Oreochromis niloticus: one gene and its partners. The protein of the gene in region 3 interacts with the protein of the main gene of each other region in a pairwise test. Links are inferred from orthologs where the notes say so. Each region holds a gene or a part of one and is shown on either strand. Other genes may lie near its edges.

Region 1 (6,983 bases), on a different chromosome or scaffold from region 3:
TATTTGATGAGAAATCCCAACATAATTGTTTTCTCTTGCTTCAGCGCCTCAGGTCAGTGCTAAAATACCTCACATTCCTGCAAAGCTGGAATTCAGGTTTGTCTTTCTGCCTTAGGTTAAAATAGCTTGTAGCCTAATTCTTGTGAGCTCTTTTTACTATCTCACCTTTTCTTTGGCAGCTTGATGAGTCCCATGTAGCTGAGGCAGAAGTTGATCAGGTCCTGCAGCAGCTCCTCCCCGATCTGGTTCTGAATGGCCTGCAGGGATTAAAGTACACGAAATGACACGGGTAAACAAATGGAGTATAACTAAGTTTTACAACATGGTTTATGACAGCAAATTACTTTGTTTATGCTTTTGTGCAATCTTCCTTTCATTACAATTCTACTTGTATTCTTTTTACTGTTATTTTTTGATTCAGGACATAAAAACATGTATCTCAGTATAGGAGCACTCACATGTTTTGAGAGGAGTTTCCCATCTTTGTACTGCACCGTCCCATTCTCAGCAAACACATAATCAAACTTGTGTATCACTGCAAGAGAAGAGACGGGTCAAATGTACCTAAATGTGCTCATCTATTTCTCTTTAGCCTACATACTAAATTTGGAGCAGGTCCTTCGCTAATCTGAAGACATACCTGCTATATTTACCCAACAGCAGATTAAAGCGTATGTAACGCTGGCTGGACGAGTTTAATCCTCCTGACTTTCACACTCACTCTGTGCTAAGACAATGACAGCCATCGAGGAAGCTCTGTAGCTGAGCCTGTGTTAAAGCCGCTTTTATAACTTGAACAGTGGCAAAAGCCAGTAAAACAAAAGCATGTAGAACTGCATAAAAACATGTTAGTTACAACAACTGTATCGAATTTCATATATGCAATGTTAATATTTACCTGTGACATTGTAACACAAAGTAAGTGAGGGTTCACCTTTGGCACACTTGGCAGGGTAAATGAAACTGCCTAGCTCTTTTTAGGCACAATGCAGCTGCATTCCAGCAGTAACCTCATATTTACTGACAGGCAGGTTATCAGCCTGCCCGCTGCAGCTGGGCGTGAACTCAGCTGAGAGGCTGCTGGTGCGATGCCCAGTGTTACGATGTGTGCTTTGGCTGCTGGTTTGGGGAATCACAAGATCATAAAGTGAAGTGAACATACCATGAGAGATCAGATGGTAGTCACAGTGCAGGGCGACTAGGCTTAGCATGTTTTGACCTGTTAGTCACTGTGAGACATTTACTAACCCATTCTCATCAACTGCAACACACATGAAGTTAATGACTGGCCCAACCAGCTTGCGCTGTTATTTATTTGTGGCAGGTCTCACTTTTAGAAGGATGCTTGCTTTAGATTAATTTGCAGCTTAAATCCAAAATTACTTCCAGAATTAATCATAACCTCAGCTCCACTCCTTGCACCCTGTGTCACGGCATGTTGGGTGATGGAGCTCGCAAGCATCTGTGGCTGAGACAGGAAGAGGACCACTCACCATCATCTCCCTCCCCAAGCTGCTCTGCAATCTTCGAGTAGTCCGACCCTCCCACGATGCCGATCTTCACCTTCTTCCGCAGAGTCTGGAAGAACTCATCCAGCTCCGGGTCGATTTTCTACAAACGGGAAAAGCACACTTTAATTAACACTTTATGTTTTAATGACACAAACACACCTAAACACACACACATATTGGCATCAACAACAAGCTCAGTCTGTCTTGCAAAGAGATGTAGTGTCATTTATTTGGAGCAGATTTAAAATTTCCCGATGTAAGGAAGAAAACTCCCCGAGCTGCACTCAAAGGAGACCACATTATGCAATATCCGGGCGCTGACGCGTCCTAGACACACACACACACACACACACGCGCACACACATGCACACACATCAGTGACCCTGCATGAACCTGAGCATAGAAAGTCAAAGACAAAAGAACAAGAGAGTGTGCACAAATCAAATGCTCCAGATACAAAAACCAAAGGCCCCATTAACCCTTACATAAGTGGTAATAAAAATGGTTATTTTAAATTTCCTGCAATAAGCCAGCTGAGCCATGCATTACGAGATATTCTGCACAGCAAGATGTGTACCTCACTGAGAGGCTTTGCAGCTGAATGGCGAAGCCTGCCTTCAGTAACTTATGATAGAACAGCTTTCTCATGCACAGTTGATGTTGTGAAAGGTTAAAAACTTTGAAATTAAATTGTAAAAAACACCTAAAATAATGAATCCAGGTTTGAATTCACATTGGACTGAAACCTCCTGGTTGGCAGTTATTGCACTTTTGTTCTGTCTTTTTCTCCGAGTTGCAACTATGACATCACAGCCCTGTGATTGGTCAGTTGCAGAGATCGCCCTGGAGCACCATTAATATAACATTGAAGATATACACCCATGTGCATCCCCGCAGACCAGTACCTGGGTATGTGTACAGGAGGCGCAAAGAGCGCAAAAAGGAAAGTAAACACTGTGAGAAAGAGCACGTGAAGTCATCAGGACACCATGTTCTCCTCTGATGTTCTCTCTACAGTGAGGTAAAGTGAGGTACCTCTCATTAGAGGCAAATGATGAGGGCAGAAGAGGAGAGAGCTGTCATGAAAGCTGATCATAACCGATAACAATAATAATAACATTATCGATGGGAAGCGAGCTCACCTCTCTCGGTGGTGTCAGAGTGCCGTCCACATCAAACAGGCAGAGGACGTTTCTGTCCGGAGAGAAGCCCTGTGCTTTCTCCATCTCTTCTTCTCCCTCACTGTTCTTATCTAGAGATTTTCAGCAGAAATGCTACTGCAAGGTCCACTCTCGTGCAAAGAGGCGCATAAAAATATCTCATTTACATAAAGAAAAAAATACATCCGCTATCAGCTGCAGTGTAAAAACCAACAAAATAAAAATATAAAATGAGCTTCCAGCTTTATAAATAAGGATGATTATCTTTCTCAGTGCGAGGCTCTTCTCTCCCTTATCTTTCTTCTGAGCCGCAGTCCTGCTGGTTTGTTTCGGGTCCGCTTGGCTCAGTGAGGCAGCTCTGCTCACACTTCAACACACGCAGCGTGCCGTACGTGTTGGATTTCTCTGTTTCTGTTCTGCAGCGCTCATTAAACGACCAGCCAATCACAGCCGGGGGACATACGTGACGTCAGGAGGCGGGGCAGGTTAATTTACTCGCCATTCAACGGCCGATGACCTTTCACCTACAAGCGATGAGCAGGAGCTGAAGTGGTGGTTGGAACAAGGAGGATGTTTGGTAAAAGCACTGATCAAAGCTTTGTTTATGAGAAGCGTCTGAATAACAGTGTTGACTGCAACTGCGGAAGCCCAGAGTGTCTGCTAATAGCAGCAGGATATCATATGATGCAGGTTTTTCTAGAAAATTAAGCCACAGTATTTCTAAAATATGCTTTGAGAGAACATTTCTGTTTATCAGGCTGAGTTTGTTACAGATCCAGATGAATTAATTCTCACATTCCTCCAGAGTTTTGTGTTTTTGCAGTATGTCAGAAAACCCCTTTGAATGTCTCCCTAATTCTGAGGTCTCAAGGTTGGCAAGTATGTGCTAGGCTTTGGCCCACATCAGTCTAAAACTGTATGTAACCATGAAAAAAGTGTTGCCATGTCCACCAGGACAGTATAGTATAGACAGTATAGTATAGACTCCTTCACATAGTGGACATTGAGTTGTTGTGTGGGGCACCAGTAATCCATGTGTGTTGCTGTAACAGTAGTTCATGTTTAGAATAAAAAGTCCCAGCTCACTGATTTGATCGGGGCAACAGTGTGCCTAAAATGTTGCATAATTTTGCTGCGAGATCTTTTACTTTGTGGTAATCTTAGATGAGTAGTTTTATGGACAAAAACCACCAGGTCATTCAGTGTTCCCTTAGTACTAATGTGTAAGAGATGTTGGTGTATTATAACTGAAGTAATGTTTTTAAGTCCTTGAAGTCATATTCTTTTATTGTCATGACTCTATTTCAAGCTTTTTTTTATTTTTGTATGATACCTGATTTATATGGAATATGGCTGAAGTAAACTAAAGTCTAAAATACTTAGTCATTTGTTTAATAGTAATTGAACATTATATAATTCACATATAAAACTATGAATTGTAATTTTAAATGGTTTAAAAGCATGTAGAATAGCATATGTAGGCACGTATATTTCTCCTTTTTTTTTATCAAGAAGCAAAGACAAAAAGGAAAAAAAAAAAAGAAACAGGGCAGGGTTCGGTGGTTGAGTCATCCGTCCCCACCAATGCCAAAACCAAATCTACGCCCTTGGTCAGAATTATGATCCAGGGATATTTTTCACAATGCATAGGGAGCTCTTCTGTTTTGTCTGGATGTATTGACATGTATTTAAAATGCATCTTTGTAATAGATACTTAAGGTTTTCTATATTAGATTTTTGCATTCTATTTTCTATTTAAATTTTTAACAGGGATAATGTGCATTAATAAACATTTCTGTAAATGCAAGAGTTAGCCATTCGTTTAAACCACAGGTGTCGAACTCCAGGCCTCGAGGGCCGGTGTCCTGCAGGTTTTAGATGTTTCCTTGATCCAACACAGCTGATTTAAATGGCTAAATTACCTCCTCAACATGTCTTGATGTTCTCCAGAGGCCTGGTAATGAACTAATCATTTGATTCAGATGTGTTGACCTAGGGTGTTATCTAAAACCTGCAGGACACCGGCCCTCGAGGCCTGGAGTTCGACACCCATGGTTTAAACCAATCTGTAGATTGAGTAGTTCCTGGCTCAATCTTTAAAGCAACTTTAAAAACTTTTAAAAAACCCATATATTTTTATCTGACCAAAACATTGTAAGAAAGGTTTTTTACATAGGTTTTTTACATATATACATATATGTATGTATGTATGTATATATATATATATATATATATATACTACACACACACACACACATATGTATATATATATATATATATATCTATATATATATATATGTATACACACATATATATATATATATATGTGACCATCCGGACCTTTGGTCTAACTGGAACTCTTTAAACTTTAGTTGAACAGCCCTGTCCTAGTGCTAATAGACATATTGTGTAACATTTTGTTAAAAAAACCAAACATTAATGTTTTCAAAGCACAGTAAGTTGTACTAATGTAAAACTTTCTGAAACATTTTCAATGTTCTAGTATAGAGACTGTAAAGCACTGCCAGACTGTGACCATGTAGTAATACAATAATTAATAAGGGAAAAATGTGATAATTCTGTTCTTATAACCCTATAATAGATGACAAATAGCATTTACTTTATATTCATGTCCTCAGGCTCAAATTACCTGAACCCTGGTTTTGATTTGGTCATTGTCTCCTGACCATGGGCAGGTTTGCTGCATTTGTTGCAGTTATTTCTTTAAATATTTGCACAATAGCCTTATTTTGCAGTTTTGCCTCTGTAAATTCATCCTACTATTAAAAAACCAGTTCTGATATTTAAAATTATGTATGTTTGTCTGGTTACATTTAAATCTCTGAAAATTGGGGGCTGTGTCTAAATTAATTTATGCTCTGGACTACTCAGCTGGTTGTTTGTGGCCTTCAAAATACCCTTTTCCAAATGGGAAGTTGCAGAGTGCCCTCTGTTGGACAAACTATGCAATATCAGTCATAGCATAGTTGTAGGACAGGGACATTAGCCTCATTTTACATTGTGTTCCACATGTAGTCGACTTTGATCTTAAACAAGCCAGACCAATTCAGTTCAGTTCAGCTCATTTATATCGTGCCAAACACACACAAAGCACCACTAGTGAAATTCCAATTTCTGTCAATGTACACATTTAATCCCTGAGATATCTTCATAATAGAAAAAGAAGTCTAATTTCAACTGCACATCTCTGTTTTTCTACATGATGAAGAAATGCTGCTCCAGCAAAGAAAGAAATCAGTCAGCATGACTCTGCGGGATTAAGCTATTCTCTACATATGTAAAAATGCAGACTAAGAGTCTGGGAGCTCATTGCCCAGACTGGGCTGTAAGTATAAATAAGAAGATTTTTGTTAATTCACAAAAAAGAAAAAACGGGGAAAAATAAGAAGTTTTCTGTCATTTGATTGTTTTCTATTACTTAATTACTTTGATGTAAGATAAATGTAGCAAAAGCTGTAAAACCTATGAAAATACAGTTAGAAGTCCAAAATGTTTTCCTTCACATTTTCCAGAGCTATGCCGTGGGCAGGATTGAAGTCAGACTGAAATCTTGCCCTGGGTCCTTATGTTTGACACCCGTGTTGCAGGGCATTTCTCTGACTTCCTCTTTACTTTTTTAATATTCATCTTTCGGCTGTTGTAAGTGGGAGTACTGATATATTGGCAAATTGGCTCCATTATTTATATATCAGTTGGACTCTAGTTAAATTTAAGTTATTCTTAGTTAAACCGGTGCTTTTGTAATAGTGAGGATGGGGAGAGTTGGAGGCTGCGTGCCTGATGGAAAGCTTTATTACATTTCATTTGCACTTGTTTAATCCAAACAAGGAAAATCAGAATCAAAGACTTACAAACACTCCCCCTCAGTGGGAGACGGTTGTATAGGAGCGAGCATCCCAGAGAAAAGTAAAATGCTTCTTCACACAGCAGCCAGTGTGGGTAAAATGACAATCTCTCTGACTCACAGTGTGACCCCCGAACTGGGGGTCCTCCCTGATCCACCAATAAAGCAATTTAAAATTAGAGGTGGCCCTAGCCTTTTGGGAAAAACCACTGATTAGTAAAGCAATTTCAGAAAGGCAGGCTCTCGCTTTGACCAGTGAGAGAGTGGAGGAGGTCTGGTTTAACCTGATCTCTGTGAAACAGCTGTTTGGGGGCTATGGCCACCACCCTCGCTCAAAACCTGCGACCCTAAGTGACCGGAAATTCTCACCTACCTGACTTACTAGAAAAAGCCCCCTGGCTATAACCCCTGGCCGCCATCTCAAACTCCTCCCAGACACATCAATAA
Region 2 (7,640 bases), on a different chromosome or scaffold from region 3:
AATTACACCCCTGAAGATAAGGCTAAGTAGTCAAATATGTTTTCGATTCACATGGCACCCAACTCTTTGATTTCGTTCACAGTGAATACCCCTAAGTGTGTAGGCTACTAAAGTAATGTGATTTTGTGCTGTACACATTAGAGTTCCATGTTTGCCTTCCTTTTTGTGTATTTATCACCAAAACTGAGACACACAAATTCATGCAACATGCATATCCTCACTGATAATACCAGCGTTGTTATAGACCCATTTCAATGATAGAAATGTGGACATAACTGACATTTTCATTGGTGGATGCTCACTATTAAAAAAAAAAAAAAGTCCGGTATTACATGTCTGCTGTGTGATCCTCTAATGTGTTCTTAATGCTCCTGGATTCATTCAACTGGCAGTGGTTTTATATTGTTTTGCTATAGCTTGTAATACTGAGTGGGGCATAGTTTTCAAGTCGGTGTTTATCATAGAGTGTGTGTGTCAGACAGAAACTAAATGAGTTGTTGTTGTGAAAGACTTTAGGAAACAAAGTGAAAGAAATGTGTACACGTCATAAAGAGCAGTCATGCAGAGCCAGAATTTAAACATTCAGATGATTTCACTTTCATTTTTGTAGTTTTTAAATTTGTTTCTATTCAGCAATGTCTTTTGTTATTGAAATTTCAGTTACCGTAAACCAACACACCTCAGTGTTCATTTGTGCTCTAGCACTGCTTTTGGACCTCAACAGCAGTGTAATCTTTACACAACGTGGAGCAAAGAAGAGCCACCAGTGCTGATAGAGGATACAGTGGGCTGTGATGTTGAATAGCTAGTTACGTCCAGCGTGTCAGCCTAAGAACAAACACTTTCTTTGTTACTTGAAATTTTGTATGTACCATACTTTCATGTAATAAAGCCCTCTGCATTTGACTTTTACCATTTACAATAGTTTCTGTTCGCCTTTGTGTTGACGTGTGTTATTTAAGCACTGCTCATAAACAGCAATCTGCAACTATAATGGGAAAGTATCTATGAAATTTATGAACAGCCATCAGTGTTAGCATGCATTGGTATGAGACAGTCCCATCTTATGAAAGTCAGATGAACTTCAGTGTACTGGTATAATATACATTCACAAGTTTGCAGAGACATTTATAGTGGAAAAAAAGAGGAAACTACAGTGTTTGTTTCTACAGTGACATAAAACGTCACCATCTCATCATCTTAAATACCACTTAAATAGCTTCCTGTAAATCCCCCCACTGTAATTTTAAAATCACCACCACCAGGTTCTCGTTCTCTCTCTCTGCTCCCTGTTCAAAACAAACAAATGCATTTTTTTGGGTCATACAAATCCCAACTTTCAAAAACATTTAAAAACATTGAATGAATTCTGCAGAAGTGCTCCTAAAACTTGTACTAGCATGCCCCCTTCAGGAGCGAATAAAAAAAATAATGACATCCACCACCACACAATTCATATGAGTCATAATCGATTAAAAAAATGAGTTTAATATTTAGTTAAATGAAGATCAGAGCCATAATATAAGAAAACCCGTGTTTGTTTGTAGATCAAGCATTCTGACTGAACATCTTTCCTCTCCATATTTCCCACTGGCCTTCTACACTCTAAACTTTGATAAGCACTGCTCTTTAAACAGTCTGTATTCTACAGGAAGAATGTGCAAAAATAGTTTTTGAAGAGGACAAACCTCAGAGAGCTGTATTTCCGTTTTGCTCCTCTAAGAGCAAACGTTATGATTCCACATCCATACGATAGTGTGTAAACTGAAAAACACATTATTTAACCACAGTTAAAACAGTATATCCCCTGAGTATCTGAATATTCCATGTATTATATAAAGTCTTATATTTAAAGTATTGTGGTCTTACCATGATATGAGTGGAGGTGCAAGAAAGCAACAAATAGTGCAACAGCAAATCCCCAGTAGGTATCTAAGGAGAGTTTGATGGTAATGTTTAGCTTTTATACAAAACCAATCTAAATATGGACTCTGATGTAAGATTAGGATTCTGTCTTTGATATAGCAGCGGGAAGTACCTCTGTTGTCGTAGGGAGCACCTTTACATCTTTTAGTATGGGCAGGCAGGTCTGAGCAGGGTAGAAAAGTCAAGACAGACATTGTGACAAGCAGAACCTGCAGTGCATTATGTAAAATTACATTTTTCTTTTTGGAAAAACATTTCGCTTTAAATTTTGGTGTGAATTTTATAAAAAATTCTACTTACCAGTAAAAATGCCCAGAATCTCAAACGCTATGGTGCAAAATATACCAAGACATACTGGAACTGCGAGTGCTGAAAGTGAAAGCAAAAATAATAAATGGGTCGTTATTCAGTCTTGGCTCAGCCAGAGGTTAATTACTTTGAACAGCGGCTTAAAAAGTGTAACTTACTTCGAAATGGCCTATAGAAAGCCATTCCACATCCCAGTCCAAAGCAGATTGAATAGAAATGGTAATATTTATCTGAAATGTTCAGAATAATAGGTTTCAAATGAATATTCTACAGAAAGGAACATCTCTGCCAAATCTGTTGATAATAAATAAACATAATAAATATACATACAGTGTTGATAAAAGTCAAAAATTAACTTCCTTTTGTACTCCTGAAAAAGAAATGATCAATAGGTTGATGGATAAACATACAACATGCTGCTGATAATAGGAAATAAGAAAAAACAGCATGTGAGAGAAAGTGAAAGCAGCAATGTACACACTGTTTAGACACACTGTTATAAATATAACAATGTGCCTACACAGAGCAAGAGCTACAATCGTAGATAGAAAACCTCAGCGAAAGGCAGAAACACAGGTGTACACACCATTTCAGCTCAGCTGCTCCTGAAGTCCCCAGGCAGGTGTAGCAATACAAAACAATCAGCATTCAGTAGACAACTTCCTCAAACTACTGCCAAGGACTGTCACTACCATGGACGGAAGTCCCGCTGACACAGTTTTTCTTTCACATTCACGTGTGTCAAAGGTTAAAAACAATAAGACAGTGCTCTGTCACCTTGTGAACTACTAGATTTGAATCATGTCCTCAGTTGTTTGGCATTCAAATAAATTTTTTTTTAAAGCATTTTTTTTTTTTTTTACTGTAATTTACACATAAATACACAAAAAAGCTGACAGTCTTTGCACTCTTTGATCACATAACCACAACCTGGTGTCAGTCCACGTAGTTCATGAGCAGATTTAAGTCAGGGATAGAGACCTTCTGACCATTTAACAAGACTTCTAAAAGTACTTAATTGCCCGCTACTTTTATAATAAACTTTTTCCATTTTCTAATAAAGAAGGAAAATAAACAAAATATTAAATATTTTTTTGTGATTTTTTAAAATATATATATATATATATATATTCATTAGCCCCCTTTTTGTCAGCTGTACATCCATGACCCAAATCTCCCATTGTATCACATCCCAAGGGTGCTCTATTGGATTGATATCTGATGACTGTGGAGGTCATTTGAGTAGAGTGAACATGTACAAGAAACCAGTTTGAGATCATTTGAAGATGGTTATCCTGCTGGACACAGTCAATAGAAGATAGCCACAGTGTAAACAGATGGACATGGCAAACAGCAGAATTCAGATAGACTGTGGCATTTAAATGATGCTCAGTTAGTACTAAGTACCCCAAAGTGTTCCAAAGAAAAAATCTCACACACCATTGCGCCATCAGCATTAGCATGAGCAGCTGATATAAGGCAAGATGGATCCATGCTTTCATCTTATACCAAATTCTGTCCCTACTATCAGAATGTTTCAGCAGAAATTAAGACTTATCAGATCATGCAATGTTTTTTCCAGTCGTCTATTGTCCAGTTTCCTGTTCTTAGCTGCCACTTGTGTGGAACCCGGTGTGGTCTTTTGCTCATCTTCTTCAACGTTGCACGAGTTGTGCATTTAGAGATGCTGTTCTGCACACCTTAGTTGTGGTGAATTGCCATTTGAGTTACTGTTGCCTTCCTATGAGCTTGAAGCAGACATCAACCATGCTCACTGGATATTTTCTCTGTAAATCCTAAAGATGGTTGTGTGCGATAATCTCAGTAGAGCAGCAGTAAAGTACTCAAACCAGCCCGCCTGACACCATCAATCATAAAACTTAAATGAAATTCACCTAACTCACCTTTCTTCCACATTCTGATGCTCAGTTTGAACTTCAGCAGATAATATTGGCCATGTCTACATGCCTGGATGCATTAAGTTGCTGCCATGTGATTGGCTGATTTGATATTTGCGTTTATGAGCAGTTGAACAGGTGTACCTAATAAATAAAGTGACTGAAGATCATATTTCTATAATTAACTAATCTATTGTTCATTCGACAAGTGAGTATAACGAAAATACCCATAGACTCTAATAAAGATCCTAATTCCCAATGTAATTATAGTTGCAATTTCACTATTGATTCTCTAGATGGCGTTTCAGTAAACTGTGGGGTCCTGTCTCGACAGACGCAATGCATTCTGGTACTTGTAGTCAACGCGGCTTCAGAAGCAAGGAGTACTTGAGGTGGCGCGCTTCACTTAAAACTACATTTCCCTTCGTAGTCACGCTGATTTGAATGCCGTGTAGGGGGGAGCTTTTTTTTTCTAATCGATGATCTCAACTGAAGTTTCCTCTGTCAGCTTCAAGAAGGGACAGAAAAATATCGAGAATGAGCAAACTGTTGTCCAGTTTAAGCTCCGTCGAGGTCCGCAGTGAGAGAAAGCCCGGGAAACTAAACACAGTTTAAGCCCAACAATGCGCCCCAAACAAAGAAGGCAGTGATTTGCGGTCTTGGTGGTTTGCTCCGCTGCTCCCGCTAGTCAGGGCTGGGTCCCGTTACAGTTGGGAGTCGGCGGCTCGCCAAGATGTCTATGGAGGAGCAGGAATATCCTGAGGCGGTACTGGTGACAGAAGCCGGGCCGCAGTGGCTCCAAGCCGAAGTGGAGCGTCTGACCCGGGAGCTTCGCGAAACGACCCAGGAGAAGATCCAGGCGGCTGAGTATGGGCTGGCGGTGCTGGAGGAGAAACAGCAGCTAAAGCAGCGATTTGATGAGTTGGAGACGGACTACGAGACGGTCCGACAGGAATTGGATCAGCTGAAGGAGGTAACCCGAGGTCACCGCCACGCAGCCAGATATAAGTCCTGGCATCAGTCAGTATGTGAAGGCGAGGAGAGCAACTTAGTGCATGTTATAATAGTAGCACGGTGGGAATTTAGAGTGACATCGGGGATCAAACTAGAAGCAGTCGGTAGTGGGGTTTGCTTCCTCTGAGCCCCAGCCCCATGTCTATTTATATCCCTCCTGCCTCCTCAAATATTATATGAAGTTTGAAATATGCATAACCACCTCCAAGCAGAAATATTGCAGTGTTACCTAATGTTGCCTCGCCTTAAAGGATGAAAACTGTCATTAGTTTGGATTACTTGCCTTTACTTGCTCCAAAGGCTGAGGCCTTGAAATCAGACTGTAGCTGCAGTGGCTTATGTCACATTTAAGCCTGTTTGGCCAATTTGCTGTTAACCTGTTTAAAAATAACATAGAAGTTTTTCCAATGGTGAAATCACTAAAAAAAGAAGTTAATAACCCTGAATATCTGTGTTTCTTTTCATCTCCTAATAGCTTGTCTGTTGAGACATTTTTAACCCACAATGTCAGCCAACCCCTAGGCCCTTCAGTTTCACTGTAGAGGAATAACCTCTACAGCTAAATATGACAGGTGGGCGAATCTATGAATCTAGTAAACATTAAGCTAAAGAAAGATAACTTGGCAACACTTTTTCACAGCAACTCATAAGACGCACCACCAGCCACTAAGATCCTAACATGTGGGAAAATCTGTCTGTATTTCATTAGAGAATAAAGAAGTGTGTGTGTTGGGGGTGGTTGGGAACTTCCCTTCAGTTCAGTCTTAAGACTGTTGTCACATCCAGTCTGTCAGTCAGTAGAGGAAATGCATCCTAAAGCACTTCCACATTGCTGTCTGTCAGCTGTATGTCTAAATGTCCAATTTCTATTATTAGTGTCCTTCAGTGTTTGTGTTCACGTGAAATGGTGATAGGTCATTGTGTGTAGGCTGGGCTTAAATGGGTCGCAGTCTTATTAATACCTTTATACAGGAAATCTAGTCTAATATCATGAAATGTAAATTAAAAAGGAGGATGTGAGATTTTTGCCACTACCGGGAATTTTCTGGTTTATAGATTATAGTTGCATCACGAAGTGACTAATTGTTGTGGTCATTTACTTAGTATCTCATGACTGTGACAGTTTCCCCTTACTACAGTACATCGCTGAGTAGTGAGGTAGGTAAAGGAATCGTCCATCCTCGTCCTCTATCAGCCTCCTATCGATTCACATCATCATGACTGACCATGACTATGATCCTAGTTACACAGATCTGTTTGTCTGACTGAGAATTGGCCGGAAAAAGACATCTAACTCTACAGTGGGTTCCATTTGCTGTTACGTAACTGTTGACTTAATGTGTGTTTGGCTGTTTAGTAGGTAATTGTGCAGATATGGCATCAAATTATTCATCAGTTTACTGCTATTCTGAAAATTAGTTCACATTGCACCTGCTTAGTAAAACTATTCAAGTGACATTTTGCAAAAGATTCCAAAGACTGTTCCTAGTAGCTAGTTAAACATTGAAAGTAAAACACATGCTGCAGCTTTGGGAATATTGCTTGCCATTTATCCAATCTGTTTTAAAGTAGATAAATATTTATTTTATAATATCAAAGCAATATCTGTACAGATTTGTCTTTGATGATTATTTGAACAGTGTTTTTTAATTGCAGAAAAACACAGACCTGTCAAAATGTCAATAAAATTAAAATTTCTGCCAGATTTTGAAATTTACATTTGAGTACTTTGTAATCCTCAAGTGACTGAACTGTTTTACCAAGTGGTGGTCATGTATGAAGCTAGAGTATTTGATTTTATACTGGATACTTTTTTTTAAAAAGATTCTATATTTTAACATAATATTCTATCATTTATTTATGGCAGATATGCTGCAGTGCTCTATTTTTATTAGTTATGGTTTTATGTATTACTAGGCTTCAAGCATTTACAAATACACTTGAAAGCAGTTAGTTTTGTTGTTTATGGCCTTGTAATTTAATTATCAAAAACAATGAAAGTCGTCACATCCACTTTTTTTAGTCTATCTTTGTGATTATGCAGATTGTACTGTTCTGTATCCTCTAGTAGAGCATGACTGCTGTAAGAGTGTCACTTCACTATTGTAGTTTCTCACAAACCATCTCGTATTCTGTTACAGTATAATTGTTGTCTCTGCTAGTTTCAGTATTTATCGGTATTTCATGTTTGATGTTTTTTGTGCTAATGAATGTCTACATTTCATTTGGGATCCATAAAGGCTCTGTCATCATCATCGTTAAATAGAGAAACAAATTCATGTTAGGAAACATTTTATCATTAGAAAAATCAGTTTGGCCAAAATTGTTGTTTGAATAAGTTTCAGATGTAATCTGTGTTTGCAGCAAAACTCTTCTGTAACAAAAAAACCCAAAGAAATAAACACAGTGAATGTAACATGTAACCATGCATCCCCAATTTAACTACAATTTTATTTAGAGTGATGAGTAAGAACCGATACTTATCGTGTATAT
Region 3 (7,846 bases):
AGGACCAGCAGAGAGTACAGTCAAACCACCCACCCACCCCCGTCACACCTCGGCTCCCTTTGACCTCTACACGTTGACCTGGCCGCTTATCAGTTAATCTCTGTGCACGTGAATGAATGAGTGTCTTCTCCTGGGCCTGTCCCGCTCTGCTCCTCTTCCAGGTGCTGAAGAGGTGCTGAGCTGATCGCCTCCCCACCACACACACACACACACCACTCCCCCACCTTCTCTCCCGTAGTCTCTCCCCCTCCCTTGTGCAGTGATGCTTGTCCTCCCCCTGCCGCACTACTCCGCTCTGCGCTACAGCATATGCTATAGCTCACTGAATGACAGCCATGATCACCCTCTGTTTTCCACTTGCCTCTGTTCTCCTTCCCCTCTCCTTCTTCTGTCCCTGCCTTTGTCCTCCACCTTACCCCCAGGGCACTCCTTGTACTTTAGCTGCACTCACTGCCATCGGTGCTCCTCTGCAATCGTCCTTGCATTGTGTAGAAGCTTTGCCTTTGCTGCACCCTTGCTACTCCAACCTAAACACACACACACAACACATACAGCTGATCCTCCTTGGCTCACCTCAGCAAACGGCACTGTAAACACACACACACACTTGCACTCGATGACAGCTCTGAATCCCACTCTCGCACTTCCTACTGAGGACTGCAGATCCACGCCAGCACACAAAGCTCCTGCCTGCTGAATGTCATTTCATGACTGGAGGAATGGTCGCTCCCACAGCTCTGAGTGCTACAAGGACCCATAAAAACCTGCATACACACACATGCATACACACACATGCACACACGCACGCTCAGAGACACACACTCAAACACGCTGCCACCCAGCCCCTCAGTAATAAATCAGCTGCTTTGCTGCATCCAGTGAGGCTGAACCCAGTCAATGTGCTGCAGACCTGCTGTCCTGTGTTGTCCTGTGTTGTCCTGAGTTGTCCCCCTGGCAAAATTCAGCACAGTCCAACACCAAGAGTCATGTCTTGCAGGGATGAAAAGCTGTCCTGAGAAACCTATTTCTGGGCTCCATCATCTTGCACCCCCCCTCCCTCCCGCCTCTCTCCCTCCTGCTCTCCTTCACCTTCGCTCTCTTCCTCCTTTTCCTCACGTTTGTTCTGCAGATCTGAGTCCTGCCAACTACCTCTGTCTCAGCGTTCGGTCCCCATCTCTGCTCTGTGCTCTCCCCTCTCTCCCTCTCTCTCTCTCTGTGTCTCAGCCTCGTTCATCGCTCTATCTCTGTCACACTCTGTGAGCATGCAACACCCCTCCTCCTCCTTTCATAGATCTGCTCTCTCTCATCCCTCCTTCTCGCCCTCCCTCCTTCCCTGCCTCCTCTTGTAAATGTGCTTGGATTGCTACTCTGATCTCTGCTTCGGTTATGCTTGCAAGAATGCCTCCCACTGTACTGCTGTGCCTGTTCCTGCCTGATGTTGCACAGAAAAGACGGAGTTGTGATCTAACTGCGCCTCCTGCCCTGTGTTCATTGCAGTTCTTTGTTCCAGTCTGGAAGCTCGACGGTGTTTCCCTTCACTTCAAATGCTCTCTTCCTGGTTTTTTCCCCCCCTCTCATCATCTAACCTCATGATTCCAGGAGGAGGATTACAGGAGAATTGTAGCTCTGCTCCACCCCATCCCCCACATATCCCCTCCCTTTCTCTATCTTACTGTATTGGGGATGACAACACACCTATTTTACCCTGGCCTAACCTTCATACCCCTTTTTTCCGATTTCCCCTTTTCATCTTCTCTCTGTTCCTCATCAGTCTCTCCTCCATTAGAGCCCTTGCGTTCAGTCTCCCTCACAGGAGAGATGAGCACAGTGTTGTACTTTGGTGTGACATTGACATTAGATCAAGGTGGTGTGGGAATGTGATGGTCTCCATCCATTACGCACATGGATACGGTCAGATTCATACAATAATGCACAAACATCCCCTATACACTGTCTCTATCTGAACAAGAGAAGAAAAAAATAAAGACTTTTTTTCCCCAATATGTGAGTCATAGCAAGGTTTTCCCATCTAGAAGACTGAGTCAAGTTTTGCAGAAGTAAATGGTGTGGTGGCCTGACATGAGACCAGCGCACCAGGATGAAGTCATGACTTGAGGTGACAGCTTCGATTCTTTTGCACCATGCTTCCTTTTAGTCATGCTCCTTTGATTCTGGATTACACGCTTTTCAAGCTGACAGCTCAGTTTCTTGCCGAATAAGGTGCGTGACTTTGAGGAGCTTCGGGGGAAATTTGATAGCACCTCCTCAATTCAGGGTGCTGATGCATTTTTCAAAAATGAGCACATTCAAAATGCACAAGCTCTACAGAGGTCTACAGCGCAATCCGTCTTGCTGTGCGCGTGGAAACACACGTGCCGCATCCCTCTGTATGCTTATGCGTGAGAGGCGGAGAATGACTGAGTGAGGGAGACCGGGAGCAATGGAGAATTTGTTAATTCAGCATCTTCAGCGGGAGGGGCGGGAGATTTGGGGTCTTTCCCTGGCCAAGGACATGTGGCGTAGGAGTGCTATTGAGGAGAGAAGAGGGAGGGGAGAGGCAGCCGGCTCAAGTTGATGGCTCAAGTTTAATGAGGCGCGGGTCGCAACCAGAGCAGCTGAAGGGCTGGCATCAGCCGGTCAGCTGCTCTGCAAAGAGACTTCAGAGCTGCATGGCACATGAATGAGAGCGGGGCGCAGGTGTGTCTTCTCTTCAGTGACTTAGAACAGCTGGCTCAAGCAGGCATGAACTCACATACTGTACCTACACACTAATAATGCATTGCCTTTTATACTTAAAACCCCTAAAATGTAAACGTAATCCAGGCTAGTGAACAGTAGGGTGAAGTCAGATGTGTTTCCTCTGGTTAATTAATAGTTGAAAAAAACACTTGCATCTGTAGGGTTCTGACATTTTAATTTATTTTCTGTTTCAGCTCATCTTTGATCTCATCAGGATGGGTATGTCCACACAAATAATACATGCCCTTACACAGCACATGTATCTTTAATAGGAATTATGTAAGAATTAAATTACCCTAACAACAAGGATGCTGGAATGACAAAATATTGAGACCAAAGATGGTTATCAGTCAGTGGGAGATTATAAGTATCTTGATTTGGTATTTAAATGACTGCAGGTAAAAAAGCAGAGGTGTAGTGTTCATTGCTGTATATGAGAGTGGATCATTTATATAATTTATTAAAACACTAACAGAATTAAACAGGTAGAATAAAGTATACTGCAGCACAAATTAGTGCCACGTAATTAAATCATGAAGCCTTCATGCCAGCATTTTCATTCATACATCCCTCTATCCATAATCATGTACCGTGTGTTTTATCGTTGTGTATAGTGTATTATTTTACTTATTTTGTATTTGTTTGTATTTTATTTGTATTTTTGTATTTTTCTTCTGCTATCTGCACCTGAGCTGAGGTAACGCACAAATTTCTCCACCATGGGATCAATAAAGTCTTATCTTATCTTATCTTTTCTGTCTTTGGGTGGAGTAAGTAAACCACCTTGTATGTTGCCTCGGGGCTTCATCCTTCAGGACAGCAGCTGTCTGATGAGCTGAAGGTCATGAGTAATCCAATAAAAGCTACACAGGGTCCTGTAAACATCACAGGCTGATACCAATTTTTTAAAAGTGTCCGACATAATAGAACTAACAAGTCAGACATCCACTTTCACAGCTACAAACTGCTACCCTCAACTGTGATTTAATTTCCTTCACAAGGACTCTTAATGCCAGTTGGCTTGATGCTAAATGGTTACCAGCAAAACCTGGCATTAATAGAGCGAATATAAGGCTGAACATGTGCACATTGCAGTGAGGTTTAAAAATAGGCTGAACAAAAAGAATGCCATTCTTTCAGCACCAACAGGACTGATTAACACTGTCGAATGCTATATGGGAGTGTTACACAGTTTCTTTAAACAACGTTTATTCTACATTGAAAAAAATGAAATCAAGTTTACCTAAAAACTCTGAGTAACAAAGAAAGAAATTCTAATGTAAATTTTACTCACTACTGGGGACTGTTTTTAATAGAAATAGTCATTTATTAGTGCTTGTTGTCTTCCTTAATCTTCTACTTCTGAAGGATTTCATCATAAGTGCTGACCCCGTGTTTGCGTGGGTTCCGGCTTCCTCCCACAGTCCAAAGACATGCAGTTAGTGGGGATAGGTTAAATGAAAACTCTAAATTGCCCATAGGTGTGAATGCGGGTGTGAATGTTAGTGCGAATGGTTGTCTGTGTCTCTGTGTTAGCCCTGCGACAGACTGGCGACCTGTCCAGGGTGTACCCTGCCTCTTGCCCTAAGACAGCTGGGATAGCCCCCCTCCCACCTCCCACCCCGCGACCCTGAACAGGATAAGCGAATGGATGGATGGATGGATGGATGTTAAAAAATGTTTCCATGTAATTTAACCATCGGTAAAAGTCACCGTCTAATTCTTTAGGTTTAAAAATTATTGGGATTCCCATTAAAATTGCTTAGTAGTGAAATCTCACCTGTGATGAAAGTACCCCCTCTAGTGGGCTTTAAAAAAACACACCCTGCCTTTTCCTTCTTTTTCAGCCTTAGCGCGGTAGTTTTTTTTCCCTCATAATGCTTCCAACTTTGTGAAATAAAAAAAAAAATCCACTGAATCATATGTATCAGTGCGTTGCTCTGCCAAAGGGGCAGTCTGGTTTTTCATTGTGGGTTTTTTGCTCCACCAGCAGAGGGCAGCACCGCAACATGCCAAGACACATCAATCCATAAAGTTGTATCTGAAGAAGAGTGGCCCGAGGTGGCTGGTTGGTTTGGTGTATATGACAGAGTAGAAGAGTAACGCTAACTTGGTCGCAGTAGTTAGTGAGGTGCTTAATATTGACTTGGACTTTGAAGGAATACGCTTCGAGCACAAAATTTCCTCAAGTCAGCCACGAGTGGGGCTGTTCATTTTCGCTGCTTCTGGACATTTGATAACTGACAACAACTGGTTAGTTAGCATTAGCTGACTAGCTAGGAAGCTCCCGAAAAGTAACGTCAAGGTTTGATTCAGTCATGTCTTCGGCCGGAGACTTCGGAAACCCTTTAAGAAAATTTAAACTGGTCTTTCTTGGTGAACAGAGCGGTAAGTCTGCTGGTAATTTTAAGTGTTGTGGGATGTAGGATTTAAGTTTTTTGCTCTGTTGGACATTTAGCTAACACCAGAGTTTGGTGGGTGATTAACGTCAACCAACTAGCTAGCTAACGTTAGCCACGTATCGTTAACACTTGGCAGTGATGGCATTACGATACAGTAACTTGTTACGAACAGTTTCTTCGCCTTGGCCTGATTAAAAAGGTGATTCATTTCCTTCAAAATGAGTCATGTCTGTGAAAATGGACTCTTACTTCAGTTGTGTGACGGGCTGTGATAACACATCATTAACGGAGGCATCGGAAATTACCAAGTGTCATTTAACAGGATGTTAAAATATGAAGCACCAGCATTATGTCTTCGTTATTGTAGGATAGGTGAACTCCAGTCATACCCTGCTGTGTTTAGAAGATGTTCATAATACTAGAGTGATCATAAATTCATAATTTCTACCCTGGAGCAACTTCCAAATTGGACGATCCTGCCAAGCAGCATTCCTGCGATCTCCCTACTAATTTACACTCCTTCAGTGTCTACACAGAGGGTTCGTGTGGGCTGTTTTTCATGTCTTAGGTAAAGCTGTGTGGCTGTTCGTTGTGTCGTCCGCGGTGTCCACAGATTTTAGGGTTTAAAGTAGAATTTGGATTATTGGTCCAGCGTTGTCTCTTTCTTTGGAATATACTTGCAACATATTTGAAGGAGCTGTTTCATGTTGCTTTATTAAAACAGTATGAAGTTGGAATTCTCGGTAAAGAGAAACTTGGATCAAACCTGAACTCAGATAGCCACCAAAGGACAATAGGGAAGACAAAAAAGGGGCTATTGTCAAGATGAGATTTTGCACCATTTATTCATAATTTTCCAGCAAGAAAGGAACAAAGAAGTCATGGCTTCTCCTGCTGTGATGTGAGAAGAATAACAAACCCAATCACTCACAAAAAAGGAAGCTAAATACATAATAAACATCTAAGCTGAAGAAATTACAAGAAATGTCAAAACCATTACATTGCACAAATATTTATTATAAGACATACCCAAGAACATTAAAAAATGCAAACGTAGAAAGAGTCCCTGCATACCTTTTTCCCAAAATATAAAACTTGTCTTTCAGTCGCACTGTGCCATAGACTGTATATAAAATAATACAGATCTCTTTAGAAAAGATGTGAGTTGAGAAGCTGCTGTGATAAATGAAACTAGGAAAGAATTAAGGAAGCAATAAGGAAGCCAAAACTTGATGACATTATTGACAAAACTGTAATAAATGTTTTTGCTATAATATGACCCGTAAGTCCCACCAAGATGGGAAAGACACACTGCGTTTTTCGGACAGTCTGTGATAAGCTGTGGCTCCTTTAAGCCTTGTAAACAGCAGTGTTGTCTGTAGCCCTGTCACCATCCCTTGATGGACATTGTAACTGATAATGTAACTCGAGCTCAGCAAAAACAGTCTGAGAACTGGCAGCACTGTGCGAGTACTCAGAGCTGCTGTGTGACTGTCCCTGATGTGTTAAAGGTATTCATAAATGTTTTTCTATGAGATTAGAAAAAAATTGAAGCATTTTACAGCTGCAAAGTTTGTAAAGCGTAGTTTTGTGTGTTGAACAACATTACAGAGTTTCATATTACATATGGACACAAACCCTCCATTGTGGATCAAATCAGCACCCTGGATACACTGGTGGGGGGAGTTCAGACATAAATGGCAAACTTTGCTTACAGCCCTTTTTCTCTCTGTGCTTTGCTCAACCCTCTGACTCCTGAATTACTTTGAACAGCTGTGCACTACACGCTTAGTGGACAAGAGGTCTGAAGAGGGCAGTGGGAGTTGTGTGACATGAAGCTGCTTGCTTTACTCTGTTATTAGTGGTCATCATCTGTGGAAAAGGGCCACAGCAGCTGCTTCGGGTTGAATAACTTTAAACACATTTCATTTCTGCAAGCTTTCAGAGATCTGCGTAGTTTTTATTTAGCCCTGAAATAATTATTTTGCTTACAGCTGAAATTATTAGTGAACTTACTTGATTACCAGAATCCTATTGGCTCCAGTTAAAGGCAGCTGGCTTGCTTTATGTTATTGCAAATTAGATATGTTTAGGTTTTAGACAGTTGGTCAGATAAAATAATCTGTTTGAAGACTTTGGGTGCTCAGAAAGTGTAAAAAGCATTTTCAGTTTTAAATTTTCTTCTAGTTGGGGGGAAATGTAGAATAGGTTCAGTTATAGAGGCAGTTCTTTTTTCCAGGGGAAAAGATGGACCTAATTCTTCTCCAAAATCAAAGTGATCGTGTGGTCATTGCACTCTTTAAGAGTTTCTTGTTTGTGTTTGTGCAGTGGGAAAGACTTCATTGATCACCAGGTTCATGTACGACAGCTTCGACAACACCTACCAAGTGAGACTTAACACCTCCACTTTTAACTTTAATAATCATTGATGATGCCTGATATCAACAGCAATACTCATTGGAAATGACTGTGAATATTTGGTTGATTCTTTTTTTTTCAGGCCACAATAGGAATTGATTTCCTGTCAAAAACTATGTATCTTGAAGACAGAACAGTAAGTTTATTTTTGTCACATCCAGTAACTCTGTTTTTGTTTTTCTTCTTCTTGTTCAGTTGCTTTTCTTTAGCCACTGAACTGGGCTCTTTCTAACACACACAGAGACAGCATTTGTACATTGCTACTGTGATCAGGAGTGTTGTATCCC

The links.
Region 1: the proteins of rab6a (region 3) and pmm1 interact in binary tests that used the Homo sapiens proteins (3 or more experiments, as listed by UniProt). The two-hybrid records come from large-scale screens. The link is inferred for Oreochromis niloticus from reciprocal best matches to the Homo sapiens genes RAB6A and PMM1.
Region 2: the proteins of rab6a (region 3) and protein bicaudal D homolog 2 interact in binary tests that used the Homo sapiens proteins (3 or more experiments, as listed by UniProt). The link is inferred for Oreochromis niloticus from reciprocal best matches to the Homo sapiens genes RAB6A and BICD2.

What each region holds. Positions count from the first base shown.
Region 1 is NC_031969.2:9,512,739-9,519,721, forward strand, and holds the start of pmm1 (phosphomannomutase 1), read right to left. Parts: upstream 3,077-6,983; 5' UTR 2,738-3,076; coding exon 2,654-2,737; intron 2,547-2,653; exon of another isoform or gene 2,492-2,546; coding exon of another isoform or gene 2,417-2,491; intron 1,612-2,416; coding exon 1,494-1,611; intron 536-1,493; coding exon 459-535; intron 258-458; coding exon 166-257; intron 1-165. UniProt on the Homo sapiens protein: Involved in the synthesis of the GDP-mannose and dolichol-phosphate-mannose required for a number of critical mannosyl transfer reactions. In addition, may be responsible for the degradation of glucose-1,6-bisphosphate in ischemic brain.
Region 2 is NC_031970.2:20,559,695-20,567,334, reverse strand, and holds the start of protein bicaudal D homolog 2, read left to right. Parts: upstream 1-4,608; 5' UTR 4,609-4,866; coding exon 4,867-5,106; intron 5,107-7,640. UniProt on the Homo sapiens protein: Acts as an adapter protein linking the dynein motor complex to various cargos and converts dynein from a non-processive to a highly processive motor in the presence of dynactin.
Region 3 is NC_031975.2:10,589,734-10,597,579, reverse strand, and holds the start of rab6a (ras-related protein Rab-6A), read left to right. Parts: upstream 1-4,774; 5' UTR 4,775-5,057; coding exon 5,058-5,127; intron 5,128-7,469; coding exon 7,470-7,528; intron 7,529-7,641; coding exon 7,642-7,695; intron 7,696-7,846. UniProt on the Homo sapiens protein: The small GTPases Rab are key regulators of intracellular membrane trafficking, from the formation of transport vesicles to their fusion with membranes.